Lepisosteus oculatus: one gene and its partners. The protein of the gene in region 1 purifies or fractionates together with the protein of each later gene. This does not show direct contact. Links are inferred from orthologs where the notes say so. Each region holds a gene or a part of one and is shown in the gene's direction. Other genes may lie near its edges. The genes, in order: si:dkey-92j12.5, plekha2 and amot.

Region 1 (7,026 bases):
ATCCAGATAACGCAGTGTTGTTTCATACCAGTTTGTTAATTAAAACCACCCTTTACATTAATATAAAGTTAATTTCCTTTCAAATTGAAAAAATACCAATTAGTAGTAAATACTGTGTACCTGATCATTGATACATTCGTCTATCAACAAATGTGTAAGTCAGAACATCACAGTTTCGTAATAAAGAAATATGTGTATAAACCTATTCAAAATGTCAAGATTAATACTAAATAACAACTTTTTAGATAACATTGGTATTACCATTAAAAAAAAACTATTTTCCTGACATCAGCATTCCCCACTGTATTTTGTGGTTGGCTTTATGCAGTCAGGCAGCAATTCAGCATAATACTGTAATGATGTTACTGTCATGTGGGTTCATGGGAGGTTATTAGGCAAGGAAGGATAAACTCCCTACCTCCAGACACAGTGAATAAGCCTGAGAGAAAATAACCCTAATGCTCCACTTCTAGTACTCCAATAAACCTGAACTTTCAATCATTGCTTTTTATAGACCACCTGGGTGGAGAAAAATGACATGAATGCTTTCAAGAGGGAACCAGATAGCAAAACACCAGGTGAGACAAATCCTTTATTTCCATGAAGAAGCACTCCTTACACCCTGTTGTTCACACTAGTACTCATAGGACCTGCATAGTCCTAGTGTATCTGTGTCCCACATATCCTGGCCTGGTGCCATGACTACTACTATGTAATATTGATAAGTGATTGTAGTTTCGTGAAGTATGCAAGCAGTTAACACGTCAGTAACAGTAACTTCTGAATTCCAGAAGAATGTTTTTTTTCTATAATTTTGCCAGAAGAGACTGTGATGCAGAACTTCAAAAGAGATTAAGATGCCTTGAGAAATTAAAAAATAAAGAAGATATTCAGCATTAAAATAAATATATATACATATATTTAAATAAAATTTATAAAAAAAATGATATGCCATAATTAATGTCATACTTTGACAAAAGTGTTTGGGCACCAGGCCTTTAGTATTATGAGTGCCCATTCTGTGTTTCCTTCATGTTTTAATTTCTTTTATGTATTTTGGAACCATTTCCTGGCATCTTCTCAGTTATATATTTGAGTTCCATGATCAACTTGTGTTTCATCTGTGCAACAGCAGCTGTTTTCACAATGAAAAGGTCAATCCTGTAACCTTCATTTGTTATACAAATTCTTTTGTAGACATTGCAAAATGCTTAGGATCATTATTCTGCAGCTTGCATTCCCAGCAAACAATGGGCACAAACCAGGGTACACCCTGGATGGGACACCAGTCCATGGCAGGGCAGATACACACATTCAAGGTCAATTTTCCCAGAAGGCAATTAACACACCAGGATGTTTTTTTGGAAGAGGAAGAGGAAACCTAGAGAAAACCCACACATACATGGGGAGGACATACAAACTACACACAGACAGCACCCCAGGTCCAGAATTGAATGTGGTTATACAGATTCTTACCTTCATTTATCAGTTCAAGTGCTCAAAGTTGAGTTCCTGGTGTTCTCAAGAAATCACATGTTATTAGCTCAATGTTTTTTTTATATGATTTTGTTTATATACTGTAGGTCTAAAGTTTTACAGAAGACCTTTTTTAAAACTTCAGTACCTTAAGTCATTGGAGCTGTGGTATCTCAGGCACAAGGGCATCTCGCTCCTGACTGGAAGGTTCAGGGTTCAATCCCAGGTAGGGGCAAGCGATGTAGCTTGCTTTATTTCCTTCCAGACAGCTCCCAGGTCCGCTCAGCCTGCTTTCCAAATGAGTACTGGGGGTAAATCCTTCCGGGGGTAATAGGCTGACCAGAACGTGACGCTGACCACATCACCTCCAACTTCAGTGTCAGATGATTGTAGAAAAATGGTGGCCCTTGTCCCCCATTCCCCATTGCTCTTTATGGCCTGAAAAGGGACCTACCCTACCTACCTTACTGTATGTCAGTATCCATTGCTCAAATTTGATGACAAGAGAAATGGAAATGGTTCAGGAATAGCAAGGAACTCCCCCAGGAGGTAAACCATCTCATTGTTGAAAATCCCCAGGTATCCAAATTTTACCTCCTCCCCTAAAATCCACAAACCCGACACCCCTGGACGTCCCATCATCTCAGCATGCAACTGTCCAACTACTCACATCACAGCCTTTCTCAACAGCCTCATGAGACCACTGGTTGAAGGGTTTCCTTCATATATCAAGGACACCAACCATGCGCTCCAACTTTTTAATGATTTCCAGTTTCAGGGCCCAGAATGTGACCTAGCTATGCTAATGTTTTTGTCGGCTGCGTAGAAGAATGTTTCTTCTCTTCCTACACTGGCTTTGTCCTTGACCTCTACAGGCTATACATTGATAAGTGCGTCAGTACCGCCACATGAACTATCCCAATTCATAAAGCAACTAGTCAAATATTGCCAGGAAACACTTAGAAAAATAAGGGGTATGCATCTACTGTAATACAAGACCTTCCTTTTTTGGGGGGAAAGGGAAAAGTGTTAATATTATTTTTGTGCGCTGTGGTAGATGTGGGTTTCATCCAGTGTGTATCTTGCCTTGCACCTGTTGCTTGCTGGGATAGGCTCTGGCTCCCCTGCAACCCTGTGTGGAATAAAGTGGTTAGAAAATAGATGGATAGGTTGATTGATGATAACAACAATAATGATAATTCCTCACATTTCTATAAATTTCATCCAAAAGGATATCAAAAAGATTTGTGTATAAGAGAGCATCAATTTCATCTGTGTAATGCATCACAGTCATTATGTGGCACTGGATAGAGAAATTAACACCACATTTAATATCCTATGGGTCTAAGGGTCTTTTGTGTTGTTATGGATGTTTCTTAACCACCATTGGAAAAGCAACTGCACCTACAAGAATTACAATAAAAAGATTGAGAAACACTTGTCAAATATTGACATAACATGTGGTACTTTTTAAGTATGAGGAAGCCAGTAACAGAATTTCCTTGCATAACATTGCATCTTAATACATAGTTTATATAAAGGAATCTGGGTATTTATGATACGTAGAAATGGTGAGCACAATGCAAAACTTGCACGCTTCAGGTGATAACAAAAACTAATTTAATTTGTCTTGATGTAACTATTGAAAACAAATCAACACAATTAATATTCCTTTACTCAAATACCAAAAGCATGTACTGTACAGTAATACAAAGCCATATTTGTGGAAAAAAACTACTGTTACTATTGCAGCTTTCATATCCACCTTTAATCAGGGTGGTAGACTTAATTAAAAAATTAACTAAAAGGAAAAATCCAGTGAAGTTCTGGTTCATTAGATCATTTAATTTGTCAGCTTCAATAGTACTGCCAAGAAAATGCTTCATTTGTTAGTTCTGTCATTTTATAAGGGTGAAACAGAACAGATCGTTTCAGTGGTATATTTCATTAATTCTTGCACCTGGTTCTCATTTATAATCTCTTAAAATAATGTATTGTGTAGAATGTAAATCTGCAGTGTTAGTAACATTACCTTAGATGCTCTCTATTTTAGTTGCAGAATTTGAAGGTTAATTATGCCCTTATAAAGGTGTCGAAATAATAATTGATGTATATTGTTGCTAAAGTTATTCTTTTCATCATACGTAGTCCCGCTTTATTAAAAATATGAATCAACTTCCATATCAATGTAGTATATTTTTGTACGAGATAGTTATCCGCACATTGATGCATAGAAACCATGGGGTTAGGTGGAAAAAAAAATAACGAATAACATTGCCCTCAAACTATGTTTTTCTGCGCCGCAATTCTGCTTTCACACTTTCGACCTGTAGTATTTGTGTGATCCTGGGTATTGCGCACGTTTGTATGGGTTAAAAGAGGTTGATTGGGCTTTTCTGAGCAACCTCTTGAATGATCTCCCAACTCTGTTGTCATGGTTTCACGCAAGCAACGCCTCTGACCTTCTTAATTCTAGTCGGGGATACAGTGGCCTGTTAGAGCTGTAGCTTGTTTCAACTCTCGGTGCCGCTATTGCTGAAAATGTCTGTGGAGGATCGAGTTACACTACACCCCATCCCTAAGCCGCTCTATGCGCCGTTAGCTACAGGAGGAAGACTCAGGACAACACGCTAGGATAGGAAGCGTCTAGCATTACCGAGGCACCGCAGACCAGTCCGCGTTCGTGTAAGTGTTCTTTTTCTTCATTTTTAAACCAGCACTTTAATTTAATAGTTTGTACATGAATAAACTACAAAAGTGAAAGTCGATTTTCGACGCTGTACTGTTTTTCCGTTGTAAAAAAAACTGGATTTGTTGGCACCAATGTGGAATTAGACGGGCACTGACGATGTTTATTCTGGGGCATTGTTCTGGGACCGCTCGGATTATTTTTTTTGTTTTAAAACATGCATTGAAGTTTACTGTAATACTGCGGGTATTATCCGGACGTTTCGTTCGTGGAGGAGCCATTTGCTCTTAAAAATGCGGATTTCATCCTATGTGAATGAACTGCGTTGGAAAGCCCTGTTGCTTCAGCCAGGAGTGGGAGGGGGAAGGGGAGGCGGGTGCTGAGAAAAGCAAATTGCATTCCGCTCCAGAGGCACACAATGATACAGTATCCTGCTGGAAGGGTCGGTTGGGGGCACATGAAGGAGAATAACAAACAAACAAAGACATTGTAATGATAAGTTTGTGTCGCTTTACTCTGTGTACAGGGGCACAATCTTAATTGCATCACAGTCCTTATCTTCTTGCTCCATGAATGCTGATGCAGACCGAACCGCTGTCGATTTACTGTCTGAAATCACGGCAAGTTTTCAGAGGCTAACTGTACGCAGTAGCTTTAGTCTGATGGTTACATCAGTCACAAGCTGTAATTATTTAGAAAACCTATGTGGTCCTGACGCTGAGTTTTGGTAACTCATGTAATTATCCAAGTCCCTGGGCGTTTTAAGGCAGTTTATAACAGACATGGTCCAGAACTACATTTTATATCGTAAAAGACGATCAAAGCACATTTGTAACTGGTCTGAACTTCATTCATCCAACTCTGTTTCCACAAAATAAACGACTTCCTCGGGTTGCGAACAAATAACAAGAAACACAACAAAAACTTTCTCAAGTTTAAACCTTGAATCGCCCACTCAGTCCAGAAAATTGAACGATTTACTTCTTGAAAAACACGTTAAAACGTTAATTCTGGAACATTTTAAATATGAAATGTTTGAAAATGAAACTAGCTGTATACAATTGTATGTTGGGCAAGAATCTGGATGTAGTGAGATTATTTGTTTTTTACTTCGAATTCTGTAAATAATATGTGTTTGTGTAACATGTTGTACAGCATGTCTAAGAATGACTCCTAAAAATGACAACTGTTTCCTTAGAGCTTCTGTGAGAAGAACGTTTTTTTATTGCAGTCTGTGGAAGTAGACCTACAGCTAGTCGATTTTTAAATGACAAAAAAAAAACCACAGTATATACGCTTTTCTGAGTATGCTAAATAGATCAGATTATTTGTCTTTTAATTTGAGAGGCATGCATTTCTATTTTGGATAAAATGAACTTTTTACAATGTTGAATTATGTTTGTATGACTAGTTATATTCAGAATAATAGTAAACAAATAAGTTCCATATTGATTTGAAGGTATCTATTTTATATTTAATTATTTTTCCATGGTGGAAAGTAAAAAGAAAGTAGAAAAATCCCCACATTTGAAGTCACGTCTGACTATTTGCTTGTAGTTTCAGGAGATACAGAAGTAACAGAAGTACTATCAAGAAAATAATAACAGGGGCAGTGAATTCATGGTTTAATGCTTAATAAGTCTGATACAAATGTTTAAACAGAATTTGTAATTTGTTATTTAGGATATCAAAAAGGCCTTATTATTTGGGTATTCTTGTTCTACATTTATTACATTATTTAGGTATTTTTCATTTTAGTATATTTTTCACTTATATTTTTCTCTCTAACAATAAACTATCATCAAATGTATGAATTTAGCAAAGTGCTACTGATATTCACTTATATTGTATATATGACTAAAAAGAACAGACCTTAAGAAGTCTTTTTTTAAATTATATTATTGGTTTGATCATGACTTTGTGGACTACTCACTAAATACTTGAAGATTAAAGTTTTTAAATAAGTGTGTAAAGTGCTGAAATGTATTTGAGTTTACAAAGAGGTTAATTCCTTGTAGATAAGTATTTTAAAATTACTTTATTTTAAAAAAAATATTTAAATTTTAATTGACTTTACAGCACTTGGAAAAGCACACTAGAGACGTATCCTAAAGCCATATGCCAAGGTCACTTTATGTAGTTCAATTTAAGGCAATTTACAGATGCTAATCCTGCTGTAAGAGTATTAAGTGACAGCATCTTTGTTTAGTAGTGTTATATATAGTGCAATTAACAGTATTTTCACACATGCTTTAGTAATTTTAGTATTTGTGATGCTTAGTTTTAAACTATGCTATGCTTTGTACCAGAATCACTACGATTTTTACATTCTATGAAAGTAAAATCAATATTACATGTCTGTTCATGGAGATATTGTTCACATTTTATACATGTGCAGACAGAAGTAGCATGCTTTGTAGCACTATACACATCTAGATTTGTGCTTTTAATTCTTAGTGTTAAAGCTTTGGCACATTATACTTGTTTATCTAGTTTGTTGCTCCCCCAGTGTACCACTACAGTACAGTACATTGTTTTTAAGCAGCTTTACCTTTGAATGAAATCCACCTGTGGATCCAAGAGATGATCAGACTGGTGCAGATATCTAGTGCTGTCTGTGACCCAGAAATGACCGTTTTTATCTTAATCGCAATGTTTATTTCTGATAGGAGAAACTATGAAATGTTAAGAACGTACCAATTATTATGTATGTTTGAGTTGTAGTGTGCTTGAAAATTCCAGACATAACAGCAGCATAAGCAACAGCATAACTGTCCTCCCATACAAAAAGTTTATTTAATTGTGGCTTCATGAATAAGCACACAATACAAATGATCAAACATTTCTAAATTGAAAATTTG
Region 2 (7,211 bases), on another chromosome or scaffold:
GACCTGTGAAGTTTCAGCCTCATTGCTGCCCTATTGCTAGTGCTATAATAATTGGCAGGTGTCTTCCTGGCTTTTTGCTGCACTCATGTAAAACATGGAAAATACTGCCAATTTCCCCATTTAACATTCCCATTTGTGGAATTTTAACTACCGAATTGCAGTTCAGCAGTCTATTCGGTGTAGTGGATGAAGGCTGTCAGTACTCTTTGCATCTTGTAAAAGATAAAGTGAATTTAAAGTGACCTCACAAACCAACATGTAGGACTGTAAAGAGAAAAGAGGGAGAAAGGAAAGAAATTTGAAATATGTGGATGCAAATAAAATGCAATTAAAGGTCAGCGATTCTTCCCAAACACAAAAAATAAAGTTTCAGCTTATTTTTTTCTTAACCTTCGTATTTTGGGAAGACAGCTTTTGTCTGAAATGTTTCCTGCGATGGACGCTTTTTAGAATCTAATAAACTGTGCCGTATGGTTAATAAGAGATGGACTCGCCTCATTTGTCAAATGACTTTGACATTCTGTATACAAAATTAAGAGCACAACTTCACCTTCATTTTATGGCGCATTCAGTGAAGAGAAAATCTGGGAGCAAGGGGATGAAAAAATACTGACAGAAAAAAGAAAAGAGAAATGATTAAACCTCAAAAGCAAGGAAGTGTTGAGAATATCCTGAATTCACTTCTAAGAACTTTACACTGAAGACAGAAGGGGACATTTTCCACATTTTGCTTAAGCAGTTGTTAAGTTTTTTTTGCTCCACCATAAATCTGAAGCATATGTGTGTCCACCGAGTCCTTTAATGCTCTGCTGCCTCTCACATTACTGTAGGAGGTTGTTGGAAAGTCATTAAAATCCTTTATCTTTCCAAGCAATGGAATATAAATTAAACAGAAGATACAATCAGATTCTCACCTAAAAACGACTACAAGAAAAAGTTAATATATATAACAAGCTCGCTTTTCTACATAATTCCATTTATAACTTTCTGTGGGCAAGTACTGTAGCATTGATTTACAAAGAAATACGAATAATTCTGTATTCAGAAGCCCGTGCTCTCTCTTTCGAAGCAAAGCAGTTTAACACATTTCATAATATGTGCAGTGGTTAGATTGTGCTTGCAGCGTTCTGAACGAAGTCGCTGTAATTCCAGTTTAACTATACACACCGTAAAACATGACTTCCTTTTGAGGTCAAACTGATGCATACAAAATGAGCATACACTCGAGACTGTCCACGTTATCTCCTTCTGGGAAGCCGCAATGAACAGGCGCTTTATTTTACGTATTATTCGTTTTCCAGATGTTACATTTTGCTAGATACACGTAGTCACTTTCGGGTCTTTCAATTTCATATATACTAAACTCGTTTTAAATAGCGCTGCTTTGTAAACAGTCTGTCTTTTAAAAAAGATTAGATAATTCTTCTCACTTTCTAGAAAAATATATATAGAGAAATTAAAATAACTGCATGATGACCTCTTAAAGTTTTGAATAAATCTAATGTCCTCATTTGAGATGTCCCATCATATTTAAACCCGAATGTTTTTTGTAAAGATGTCAAAATTTTGTATTAATATCAAAAATGGCAAATTTAAACAATTTCAGACTATTTTGGGGGGGGGGAAACAACGATAAAATGACATCATACAGGCGAGGTCATATGTCTTCTGTGCTTTCCTGATGCTAAATGTCTTTCTTATTGCTTCAGATTCTCCGTGGTTTCATATACTGTAGGTCCTGTTCGCGTGTTTCATCTCTACCCTCTCTGCAGCCAGATGAGTTACAGTATAAGATGATTCGACGCAGACGCATCATCAGGAAGTGCTAAGGGAGTAAGGTTTAATTGTTGCACAAACACTGTTGCAGACCAATTGCAACCAGGGCCGTGCAACTCCAATAACCTTCCCCAGGTAATATTCACGAATCCTCAGCAAATTGTGTGCATTGCAAATGTAGCGTATAAGGCAGTCAGAATAGGTGCAAAATGTCGAGAACTCCTGTCATCTTAACAGTTCTCTTGTAACCTTGGTCAATAAAGTAGTATCCAGTTCTTAAATGTTTTAGTTTTAGGTTTGATACAAGGAAGTGCGGTGTTTCTCTACTTGACAAGATAATCTTATTTAATAATGGTTTTTCCTGAGCAAAAAAAAAGCAATTTTCTTTCATTTTTTCCTTTCGGAAATATTGTTCTCTCTAGTTTTCGCATTTCTTCAAAGAATAGGGCAATGCATCCAGTTCTGCACTTTTAATTCTGAGGCACCGTGGAACGGAGATGTCTTCTTTCTTTCTGATGTGATGGTATTGTGGAGAAGTGAGTGGGTGGCGGAATTAGCGGACAGCGCACGAGGAGTGGAAACTGCGCAATTTTTTTTTCTTTACTATCTCTGAAAAAACCCACAGGAAGTGTAATCTGCAACAGGTGAAACATTTTCGAGATAAAAAAATATTTATATATATATTATCACAATACAACTATAATAATTTTAACCAGGTTGTAAGGGTTACAGACCTTTTATAATACAAGCGATGAGTTATGCGGAGGACAGAGTACACTACTACGTTTTAATTTAAAGGTCGCTTAAATCTACCCAATCACATACAGTATGAAAAGGTACTGGGATTAGTGGCATAGTTTTTATTCTTTAAGGGTCGCCATGGAAAGATCGGAAGTACTCTCATCTTGTTTCGTCACATTTCTCAGTTATGTTTTCTTTATAAAGTGGCTTTTTGGTTCTCAGGAACATTCCAATTCAGTGATTATCAAAGACACAGCTAGAACCAGAAGAATTAAAATGATACAAAAGAGACATAAGATGGGAGATAGTAATAACGATCGAGCATATATGTGAAACATGATAGCCAATATAGGACACGTAATATTCGAAATATTTGAAGTGCCTTAGAGGTTTGTGTGGAGTGTGTCCAGAAATAGTGTCATCACATTTGGCATTATTCACAGATTCTGCAATGTATCTGAGTTTTAAAATCTCCAACAGATGCAAAGTGCAGAAAATAAAACACGATACACATAATGGGATATAACCCTAAATATATGTAACACATATGTGGTTAACATATTCTGGATATATAATGTGGTACCTTTAAGATGCAGAGAATGACTTAGTGACCATGGCATTTCCTTCTGTTGGCATGGGGAGCAAACATCTGATTAACATGTGAGACCTCCAGCTCTTATGATGAACAGTTCCTTCTGAGCATCATCGAAAAAGCTGATGCTTCAGCTGAGCGGCTCTTGCAAAAAGAAGTTCTTTTAAAGGAAATAAATGAATAAAATTGTAAACAGGAGCCCTTTTTAAGAAACATCTTTCAACATTGAAAGAGTCATGTGATTTATCCTTAGCCCAGTTCTCACAGCAGCATTGCCAGTCATAAAACTTTCGGAAAGGGGTGGAAGAAAGCAGTCATGCCTTTCCTACTCTGCTATTGCATTATTTTAAGTGGCTGGTCAATAAATCAGCAAGCTGTCAGGGTGTGGTTCCTAATGAATACGCACATTGTGTTGTCAGAAGTGGTTTGTAAAGGATGATTGTTCATGATCCTTCTTTACAAATGAAACCTATGCTAGATGGGCTACCATCCCCAGTGCCCTATTTATTTGTACATTTTCTTTGCCAAACATGCATATGGACCCTGGTTAGAAAAAGAAACTGATAGCTATCAGTGAAACTCTGAAGTCGCAATGTCTTTGGAGTGAAATTCTGCAATACTTCTGTTTCTTATTTGGGGATAATCACTGGGTTTGTAGACACTGTGAAATGCTCTATATGATAATAACATTTTCTTTTACATTATGAAAAGAGGAGGCTTTGAGCACATTCTTGATTTGTCAGAACACCTCCTGATGAATCTGCAGACCCAGGAGTACTATACTTGCACATTTCTCTAAAAAACCCAACTCTAAACCTCCCATTCTATCCATTCCTCTAGATGAAAACCTAACATCGCTCTATCTCATGTCAGAAAGTTGCTTGTACTGATGAAGGTTGGAGCACTCCTAGGAGACTGAGTACAGACAACTATTCTTTCCCTGGATGGGATGCCAGTCCATTGCAGGGCCACAGAAAAGGCACAATTTGGAAGATTCAATCAGACCTAGTCACCATTTCTTTGGGAGGTAAGAGGAAACCAGAGCACCTGGAGAAATGTCAAGTGAGTGCAGGAAGACTTTTGCAAACTCTACACAGACTGACACCCACAACAGGAACTGAACCTGACCCTGGAGGTGTGAAGCAGCTGTACTAACTGCCCTGCCCCTGGACTACCCAGAAACCCTGAAATACAGTACATGCCTGCACAGACTGCGTTCACTCACGCCAGCTAGTTTTTTTTAAATGTAGTACTCATTATTATATTTAGCATATTAGACATTCAACATCTGCAGCCTTGTCTTACTGTACATTTAATCCCACTCACTCCTCTTTGTATATACAGTAGATGTGCTGTTCCCTAAATTTGCTTCTAACCAATTTTAAGGTATAGTGCAAACCTGTGTTCCACCTAAACCAAGTATTAAAGGTAACAACTCCCTTCAGCATTTTGAAATTTCTATGTGCTACGATTCTGTAAAACCCTGAACAATGCAGCCCTAGTTACCAGGTATTTCAATCCCACCCATCAGAAAAGGGTCACCAAAGTACAAACTAATACGGTATGTGCTAGACTGAGAATACCTCAGCTACCAAAGTCTGCAAAAGCCTTCAAGGAGTAAGTTATGACACATGTACCTCCCTGTGTTTTAGTTGCCTGTCCTGTTTAAGGTGCTCTGCGACATTCTCTGTTGTTTCTGCTTCGTTTAGCAGTCATGTTGGCTCCGTCGGGAAAGAAAAAAGAGGAATTTCGCTAATGGGCTTTGTTACAAGTCACTCTTTGCCCTGCACGGCTGTAGACACTCACTACATTGTACAGTAGGTGCATCCACAGTCCTAAGAGAGATTTTAACTGTGCATACGGTACTGTGCACGACATGAATTGAACAGTGCTAGAAAAGGGCACGCTTTGCAAACAGCTTGTTACCACTTTCAAAATAGTAGGTGTACAATACGTAATCTAGCGTTTTGTGGCAGAACAGAGGAACAGTATCGATTGTACTAGAAAAATATGTTTTAAAAGATACGCTACAGGTAGGAAGGTATTACACCGTATACCTTTTTCCGTCTTCTATTACGAATAAGCAGAGAAAACCTACTGTACATACACAATTTCTGTTCTGAATTTATTACAAAGATACTACCAAACATGTTACGTTTTAGGTCTCTCTTTACTTCTGTTTCTGATTGTTCTGTTTTGCAACCTTCTCAGTAATTGAATTTACACGTGTTACTTTATGCTAGTGTGTAGATCTGTGTGAAGTAAAGTATATTACGATTTAGAAAGAGTTAACTAGCAAGTTAAAGCAACCGCTGTGATAAATAGCTTATTTGTAATTGAATTTAGAAATAAGATATAAGAAAATTTAAAGAGAAAACCATCGTTTTTTTAATTTTCCATGTTGGTCTTGTTATTGAATTGAAGTAACGTTTTACTGAGAACATGGTGATTAACTTCTCAGAAAATCCGTTTTGGTTGTTATGATTTACACTACAGTATGAATACTACATATTGTAATCGCCTGTAAAATGAAAGTGCCACCATTTTTTCCTAGCTTTTCTCTTTCTTCTTGAACAGAGTGAAAAGACATTAAGGGGAAAATAAATTAATTCTTGACATCCAAAATAAATACAAAATGTCGAAACATTACGGTGTGCTGCGGGCTACAAGGCAGTTATATGTTTAACATACCCCAAAACTGCAAGGTTTTGTCAAAACATCTGCCTTTAAGAAAAAAAACAACAACTTGGAAAGCACGTTGCTGTTTTATCACTTTTTCTGTAATAAACTGTTTTTTGGAGGATGTAAGTTAAAGTAATATACATTTCTACGTACATGTATGCATATTCAGTAATCGGAGAAGAAAGAGGACATAATTATACGTTTTTTGCATTTTATAAAGAAATACAACAAAATGGAAGATGCACATGAAGGACTGCAAAAGAAAAATAACACTGTGATCGCTGAATGTCATTTACAATACCGTATCAAATCCACGGCTATCATGAAACCGTTTGAAACCGGACTATGTATTTTCAAAAGCGAATTCTTATTTAGCCAAACTGGGCACAGCTGGGACCGCTGAGTGTAACAGACAGGCAACCAACCACTTGCTGTCAACCTGTTCTCTCAGTTTTACAAAGGCATTTAACTTCTTGCCTTTGGTCGGTCTCAGTTTTAGGTCCGTCTGCACACTCTTTGGAGATTTTTTTGTTGTTGTTTTCAGAGACGGACAACAGAATGCAGATCAATCTTTAAAGTTCCCCTTTTAAAAAAAAGACTAGATCATATCCGGGGTTGGTTTATTCTAATCTGTATCGCTATTACCCGGAAAAAACGAGACCTTGCGCGTTTTGCCTCTCATACACGTTCACAAAATGTGAAATAAAAACATCAAGGCTTTGTTTGGTCAACAAATACGGAATGGTAACTTGTTTAGTTTTTCTTTATAATCAGTGGAAGTAAGTGAATTTTGCACTTCAGAAACTTTTCCCCATATCGCAGTTGGGTAAGTGGTATGGTTTCTTTTAACACAGCTCTTCTGATGACAAAGGTGTGGCAGGTCAAAGTGCTTATGTACAGTTAGGTGACTGCTTGCAACCTGTCCGTTCATTTGCAGGCATGGTAATTTCGCCGCTAAAATTGAAGCTCTCCATAAGTTTTTAGGATATCGAATTATAAAGTTTGCGTTCACGATGTCAGCTGTTGTAATGTGCACAACTAAAGTCTGCAAATAAAATTGCACTGTTCTGTATAGCTAAGGAGACATCGTTCAAAGTACCTTTCAAATACTACATACATTTCCGGGAAGAACACGTCATTTTATTTCCAACGATTAGTATTTTACTACGAATAATTACTCGCATTTCCAAACGTACTGTATGTGATTAGTATTGCAGCGTTAACAAAACAAAACGTGTGTTTTTCTTCATGCATATTCGAACACAAAACTGGAAGTGAACGTATTGTATTGTTGAACGTTCATTCATTCTGAAATGAATCAATTAGTAGTGTTATCCGAAAGATAATACGATTTTTTGCCTATCTAAATGAAATGTTATGAAATTATGTTCCAAAATAAAAATGATTTTCCATGCGTTTT
Region 3 (7,714 bases), on another chromosome or scaffold:
TTTTATTTGCTTGGAGGGGGCCCTTACACAGGGTAACATTAATTTTTAGTATTGTAACCACAAGAAACAGACATGCAGGTACAGATTGTTTATACTTAACCCAGTCTCATCACTATTATCAATGAATGCTTTATAGAACTTATGTAAAGCTTCAGCAGCATGTTGTAAATTTCTGATTAATGTTGTATGTATTGAACTTCTTACCTGGATTGAATCTTTTTTCCCCACAAATAAGTTGTTTTATGTCCCCTGAAATCACTTTTTCCTAAACACTTAGCTACTAGATTTATTTATTTAGGTTCTCGAATGAGTGTTTTTTTTTTCAAATTAAGTTTGAAGGTTACTTAAATCTCCTGCTTTATTGTAAAGTGTTCCAAGTCTTTAGAAAAATATGTTTTAACCAAGAGAAAACAGTAGCTCTCTGCAAGTTAGATCTCATTATGTAACTTTTTTCTACTTTAATGTCTGATGTATTAAGGGCTTCTACCTCTCAAGTTCTGTTTTCCAAGCTCTTATCCATTTTATCTTTGTACTTCAGGGCCTGGACTGTGGCCCAGAGAGCTCAAAGAAGTTTGCAGAAGCCGTGGGGAGAGCCAAGCAGATCGTGTGGAACGGACCTGTAGGAGTGTTCGAGTGGGACAAATTTGCCAGTGGAACCAAGAACCTCATGGATAAAGTGGTAGAGGCCACTCAGAAGGGCTGCATCACCATTATCGGTAAGTAAAGGCCATCTTCAGCCTTTCTTTCCCAGATATATTTTCCATATTGTTTTCTAAAGAAAACTGCTTTCAAAACTGTGGTGGCTTCTCACAATTCCCAGAAAACCTGGAAAATCACATTTTATTTCCTGGCTAGTAAGTGATGAACAATGATAACAAATTGTTTATTAACTGGATACAGTAACCCCCCTCCAATTCAGTTTCTCTATAAAGCACAAAATAAATGTAACCAAAAAGTGCTGTATGAAGTATATGCTATAACATCGGTTAATCCTTGAAATATATTCCACTAGGCTGCATGCCTGTGTCAAAATCCTGCATTTTTCTCAGGAATCCTGTGGTATTCCTGGGCATCTTTGTGCTGCTGCCAGCTTCCTGGTCCATACTCTGTTTCTCCTATGCTTTACAGTGTTTCGCTGTGCACTTTCCTTTGTTTCAATTTGTAGTATATTGTTCCTGCGTTGTGTCCGCAAGTTATCAGCCTGTGGTGATGCTGAAAGCATAAAAGTAGGAAAGTGCTAATCTTGGCTGAGAAAATAAAGATTCTGGATTGGCTACAAGCTTGCACATAGGCACCTTCACTTGGTCGTGAGTTGGGGTTAATGAATCTACCATGTTAAAAGAAGAGGATTGAGGAGGTTTTACAGGTCCAGGCTGTATAGATTCAAGAAAAAAATAAATGCAAAATGTAGAAGCTCTAGCATTCTGTTATTTGAAAGTATTTACATCTTATCGGGAAGTTTCCAGTATCAATTGTTTGCTTATTTATTTGCAAACAAGATCTATATTAAATTGGCAAATGTTTGGAATTTCAGTGAATCTAAGTGGGTATGGATTCCACATGTGGTGAAAAATAGCTCTTTAATTAACTGAAGATATTGGAATAATCAACATAAATACCTAAATATAGACTGTTGAGGGTTATGTGGTTCAATTAACCACCCCCTAACATTCCTGACTTCAAAAGGAGATTTAGCTTTTGAAACAGGATTTGGACATTTGGCACTACCAGAGACAACTGGAAACGTCCATTTTGCCTCAAAAGTGAATCTAAGTAAAATGTTTTGTAATTGCAAACCAATTCAACCACTAGATGGGGCTAAGGGGTACCTATAGCTTAGAATTTAACCTCCATAGGAAATATTGCTAAATACTGAATAGTTCATCTAGTGTTTTGGCAGGTATGTGACCAGTTAATTCACATCTAAAATCTGACCTCTTTTGTGTTTAAATGGATGTCTCAGAGGCGTGAAGTCGAAAAGACTCCTAAAAGGTGTTTTTTCCGTCTTTTAAACTTGATTTTAGTGATCAATGGTATTTTAAGAATTTACAGAACTAAAAACATTAAAACTGTCCACAGGAGTGGTGGCACATTGACCTTAAATGTTTTAAAGCTGCCTGAATTGTGCTGGGATTTGATTGGACCTTTTGTGAATTGTCATGCTGGTGTGGGGGCTATAATGGACAGCTCACGTTGCTGTGTTCCTATCCAAGGTGGGGGTGATACGGCCACCTGCTGTGCAAAGTGGGACACCGAGGACAAGGTCAGCCACGTCAGCACTGGGGGCGGAGCCAGCTTAGAGCTGCTAGAAGGTATGAAAACCTGAGGCGCTGAGAACTCTGGGAGCTGAATTCTGAGCAATAGTCCAATGACTGCATAACATCAGATAGTATAGGCTCCTCCAGTATCCAGTTCACAATGATCAGTATTCCACTTTCACCTGGAGGAAACCCATGCAGACACAGGGAGAACATAAAAACTTCATACAGATAGCACCCCAGGAATTGAACCCAGGGGGGAAGTGGCAGTGATGACCACTGTGCCACCATGCTACCTTATGATTTTATTTTTAGCAAAAACAAGTTTCTTTATACTTTTGACATTGGACCAATAAAACAGGAATATCCTATTTTATAAATGGACATCTCATACAGCTTGCAGAATATTTCCAAAAGTACTTTGTCATTGTCTTGAAAAAAGTCCTTATTTCACAGAAGTACATTATTTCTTCGCTTTATTTTTTCAACAAGAGATGTGTCTTTGAGGGATAAGATAACTGATGTTCTGTACAATAATTTTAAATTGTTTTTCTCTTTTTTTTTTAATTATAATAGGTAAAGTCCTGCCTGGTGTGGATGCTCTGAGCAATGTCTAAAGGCCCAGGGGAGAGGAAGATCCTAGCCATGAGTTTCAGTGCACAGCCCTAGGGAACCTCTTACCATGAAACGCTTATCTAGTACTGCAGTAGCACAAATGATGAATTCCTCCCTCTGTACTGCGCAAGGGTTACAGAAAAGCTTTTAACTTAACTTGAAAGACACCTGAAAATGTGCTAAGACCCACTCTAGAGCACTTAACTGAGGAGGGGGGAGCTTTGCTGTTCACTCTCAAGCTGCTTTTTAAAAATAAAAAGTCTGAAAGCAACGCAGAACCCCTCTTTGCACTTTGCCTCATTTCTCAAAAGGGAGATGTTCACCTGAGGCAGCTGCTGGTTTGGAATTGGTCATTTGTGATCATGTTTATGTGTATATGTGTGCCTCACTTGTTAGCGTCTTGGAGAAGAGAAAAAATCCAAACGTTTGTGTAACTCTAGAATTTATATTTTGTATCTTTTTGCCTCTATCAACGGTTCAGTCTGTACTAAACGCCACCCCATGAGCATCTGTCTTGTTCTTTGGCCACAGCTTGTAGTTCTTTGGTTGATAAGATGTCTGGACAAAGTATGCAGATGAAATAAAAAGGATCAGTGTAAAAAGTCACTTGTTTTCTTTCATCATTGTTGGTGGAGATAATCCTAGAATTCACTATTTCTCCTTGCCTGCTTCCAAATGTGATTGATTGGGATTATGTTGTTTTTAATGAAAACTTTAACCTAAAAAAAATAAAAAGACCAGAAAACTAGGAATTGGATCCACTGGTAAGTAAAGATGCCTGCTGAGAAGTTCCAACCCTACAGTACAGAAGCCACCATTTCAAGTCTAGATGGTGGAAGCCATGATTCCACAGCCAATAGCACACAATTGGCCATGTGCAGCAAATTCTGTGGTTTTGTTGAGTTGGCCTGGGTAACGCATCACTCGCTTGGGACCTGCACATTTCTGTTTGTGAACCAGACAATTCCTTAAATGTTTATCTGAAGCATTCTGTAAGGTACTGCGAGACTTTGTAATGACTCAAATGAAAGTTTAGGAAAGAATGTAGTGTCCTAGGTCTACTGTTTGGCGGCAGTGGTGACCCATGTTTACAAATGAAAAATTGATGACATTCTCATGACAGTAGTGTTGCATAGTAGTGTTTTAAGGTGCATAAATTAGCACCTTAAAAATTGTGTTCTGTTGAAGCATGTTTGAAAGAAATGGTTAGAAGACCAAATGGGTTTGATTTTTTTTTTCTTCCAGTTAATCTATGTTCTGTAATCTTATTTTTCTTTGAAAAGAACGCACTGGTATTGAAGAACACAAACTAATACGTTTCATGGATACTCCACAATATTAAACTGTGTAAACTGACTGCTATAACTAGTCACTATGCGAAAAATGCTATCGTTCAGGAGTTTTGGAAGGGACAGATAAACGTGGACATCGTTGGCTGGTACATCACATGACAATGGGTATATCTTGGAACTTAGCATCTTCGTCTGGGTCATGCATACCTTATTTTATCAAGAGTGTGTATTGAATTAGCTATGTAATTAAAATTTATCAAGTTATGTCTTGAACAATGATGACATATGGGATTTCTTGGAATAACAATCCGAATGGAATAATTTATCCAAACTTGATGTTATGCTTCAAAGTGTTTAAAAATAATGTGACCTACGTTCAGATAGTATGATCAGGAAAGCTCTGTAAACCACACATTGACTACAATACCAACAATGCTCCTGACCAGCTTTGCTCTGACTCCGCCCTTTTACCTGCCCAGGTGAACGTTTCTGTGGGAAATTACATTGTCTTTTTAGAGCTGTAAAGCTAAATCTGGACATGATCTAGATGAACTAGAAGCGAGGTGAGTTTATGCAAATTATTCCATGTTCGTCGTTTGTGTCGTCTAATATACAAAAGAGTATTAGCTGGACGGATTTGCTTCTTGAAAAACAAGCGTACCTGGGTCACGGCCCGGCTCTTCGGACTCACGGACGTTGCAATCTGCAATGGAGTTTGCCGGGTACGCCTGGCAGTACTGTACGTGGCTTATGTACAAAGCCAACAAAATGGTCTCAGGTGTTTTCCTGTTTTAAACGCCCTATTTTAAAATACAGCCTTCTTTCAAAAAGCAGCATCGGGGTTTAAACACAAGAATGAATGTGATTCTTATACGTCTACTTCAATATAAAGGATTTTCTGTAAAGGCAAATGTATTACAAAACCTATGTACGCCGTGTATATCATATTGTAGTTTTCCCGTGAAATTTAAAAGTGCTTTTTTATATTGCAACATATTTTTGGAACTTACACAAAATGCTTTCTTTGTACCACTTCCTGGATAAAGTAAATGTGGCTTATTTTTTATATATTTGGATCTCTCCAACATATGGGGCATTCCAAATTTGAAATATTTTACTGGTAATGGGTAATATTCAGTCTATTAACAATTTACAACTGTTTAGGAATGCATCAACATATAGAATCGCCCGTTTCTAAACCAATTCAACGGTTAACTTGGATAAAAATCCAAGTCAAGACAATAACCTTTTAATTTAAATGGATGATTGATACAGTCATAGTATCGTTGGATCGACCATTCAAAAGCTCATGGTTATGTTGTAAACACTTGATGGAAAGAGTCAGTGAAAAAAGATGATGATGATTATTATTTTATTATTATTCCTCAGGCCACAGAAGGGGATAGGGCTGGAGACAGTCAAAGAAAACACAATGAGTGTTGTGGAAGAATGGAGTCCAGAGAATGTGGCTAACTGGATCAATCATATTGGATTCCCTGAACATGCTCTGAGCTTTTTAGGTATGATGTGCACTTTTGCCCCAGGATTACCAGAGTCCAAAATGGATTGCTTCTCATCTACATTGTCAAGGAGTGTTCAACAGTTTTTCAATTAGTGTTTAATTCTTTTATTAAAATATAAGAAATATATATTAGTGTTTTAATAACATGAACATAAATTATTTCACTTAAAAACCATCAAGAAATTTTATCATCTCCATAATTATGTATAAATTTAAAGTAGACCCCATTTATTTGAATGTCCATACATTTTCTGTACATCCATGTTTCAACTACTTATTAGAATGTGTTCTGTTTTATTACGATTTTGCCCAATCCAATAACAAATATATTTTGTCTAACTTAAGGAAGCGGTAGTTACAGTTGTATGCAGCTCGTAATTTATTAAAGGTGAGAAATCAAACTAGACTTCAAGATTTCATCTGTAATGTCAACAGATACAGGGTCGAGAAAAACATAGTGAATCAGTGTATCAAATCTCAAAGAAAAATGGTATTTTCATAGTCTTACCCTGATGGCCTTCTTAAATAAAAAACACTCTTTCCGCAAGTATCCAGTAATGATTATAGTAACATATTTCTTGTCTCTTAAAACAAAATGATGTTTGAATTGAACAATGAGTAAAATTTGATATTGGGGAAAAGTTAGTGAACCCCTAGTTTAATTAGCTTAATTAAGGTAATAATTAGAATCAGGTGTTAAAATAATTAGGTAGACCTTGGGGGCTGAGTTTGTAAGGCCCCAACCTATATAAAGATCAGAAATGGTGTGAGTTTGGCCTTCACCATGCATGTGTTTGAAATAAGTCATGCCACATGTCTAAGAATTTCTCAGAGAACCTCAGAAAAATAGCCATCGATGTTCTTCAGACCGGAAAGACTAACAAAACCAATTCTAAGTATTTGGGGCTCCACCAATTCACTCTCAGACAGTATACAAATGAAGAAAGTTAAAAACCACAGTCACTCTACCCAGGAGATGTTGTGCTACCAGTGTCTCTCCAAGAATAAACTGGAGAATCATCGAGGAAGAACCCTAGCATAACATCCAAAGAACTGCATGCCACTCTTGCCTTCACTAATGTGACTATTCATAACTATCAGACAACTTTGGTTTGAATGGTATTCATGGAAGGATAGCAAGGAGAAAAATGTTCTCCAAAAGTAACATTGCTGCCTGTTTAAAGTTTGCCAAAGAGCACATAGATTATCCACAAAGCTGCTGGATAAATGTTCTCTTGACAGGCACGGTAGATAGAACTCTTTGGCCTCAATTAGGAACATTATGTTTGGCATAAATCAAACACTGCTTTTAAAAACAGAACCTCATCCCACCTGTCAACCATGTTGGTGGGAGCTTGATGGTTTTGGGTTGCTTTGCTGCCTCAGGATCTGGATGACCAACACAACCATGAATTCTGCATTGTATCAGAAGAGTCTAGAACAGAACATCAGGCCATCAATCTGTGATCTGAAGTTGAGCCAAATGTAAGTCTTGCAGCAAGACGGTGATCCACAATTCCTCACTACAAATGTGACAGACTGATCAGCTGTTACAGGAAATGTTGAGCTCCTGTCATTGCTGCTCAAGGCTGTGCTACCAGTTCACTGAATATAAAGGTTCACATTCTTTGTCACACATGGCTATTGAATGTTGCATTGTTTGAAGATAAATGTTAATAGGATATCATGTTTTGTGTCATTTGTTTCATCAGATTATGTTCATAATTAGGACTTAGATCAAGGTGTAGTAACATCTAAGGTTTCAATATGTGAAAGAATCTGAAGGGATTCTTGGCACTGGAGCGTAGATGATGAAAACCTATTATTGAGTTAATGTTAGCCAGATATTTTTTAATTTCATATTTTAGGGTTCCTTGTCACACAGCTCAACATCCCAAACAAAGGTCTGAGACCTAAGGTACATTCATAAACAACCCAGAATTACATGTTTGGAAGCATGTCACCTCGGATAAAAAGTGTAGCAAATAATATCTTACACCATAGGCTGTCTACACTGTCGTAATTCA

The links.
Region 2: the proteins of si:dkey-92j12.5 (region 1) and plekha2 purify together in Homo sapiens (affinity purification with western blotting; 3 studies listed by BioGRID and IntAct, with this or other methods). This does not show direct contact. The link is inferred for Lepisosteus oculatus from reciprocal best matches to the Homo sapiens genes MPDZ and PLEKHA2.
Region 3: the proteins of si:dkey-92j12.5 (region 1) and amot purify together in Homo sapiens (affinity purification with mass spectrometry; 4 studies listed by BioGRID and IntAct, with this or other methods). This does not show direct contact. The link is inferred for Lepisosteus oculatus from reciprocal best matches to the Homo sapiens genes MPDZ and AMOT.

Annotation. Positions count from the first base shown.
Region 1 is NC_090696.1:70,227,065-70,234,090, forward strand, and holds the start of si:dkey-92j12.5 (multiple PDZ domain protein), read left to right. Parts: upstream 1-3,934; 5' UTR 3,935-4,161; intron 4,162-7,026. UniProt on the Homo sapiens protein: Member of the NMDAR signaling complex that may play a role in control of AMPAR potentiation and synaptic plasticity in excitatory synapses. Promotes clustering of HT2RC at the cell surface.
Region 2 is NC_090697.1:71,439,649-71,446,859, reverse strand, and holds the start of plekha2 (pleckstrin homology domain-containing family A member 2), read left to right. Parts: upstream 1-4,116; 5' UTR 4,117-4,136; intron 4,137-5,065; exon of another isoform or gene 5,066-5,142; intron 5,143-6,258; exon of another isoform or gene 6,259-6,617; intron 6,618-7,211. UniProt on the Homo sapiens protein: Binds specifically to phosphatidylinositol 3,4-diphosphate (PtdIns3,4P2), but not to other phosphoinositides. May recruit other proteins to the plasma membrane.
Region 3 is NC_090703.1:34,849,555-34,857,268, forward strand, and holds the start of amot (angiomotin), read left to right. Parts: upstream 1-4,636; 5' UTR 4,637-4,728; intron 4,729-5,554; 5' UTR 5,555-5,597; coding exon 5,598-5,685; intron 5,686-7,714. Other genes in the region: pgk1 (phosphoglycerate kinase 1), read left to right, coding at 539-716, 2,214-2,312, 2,835-2,875.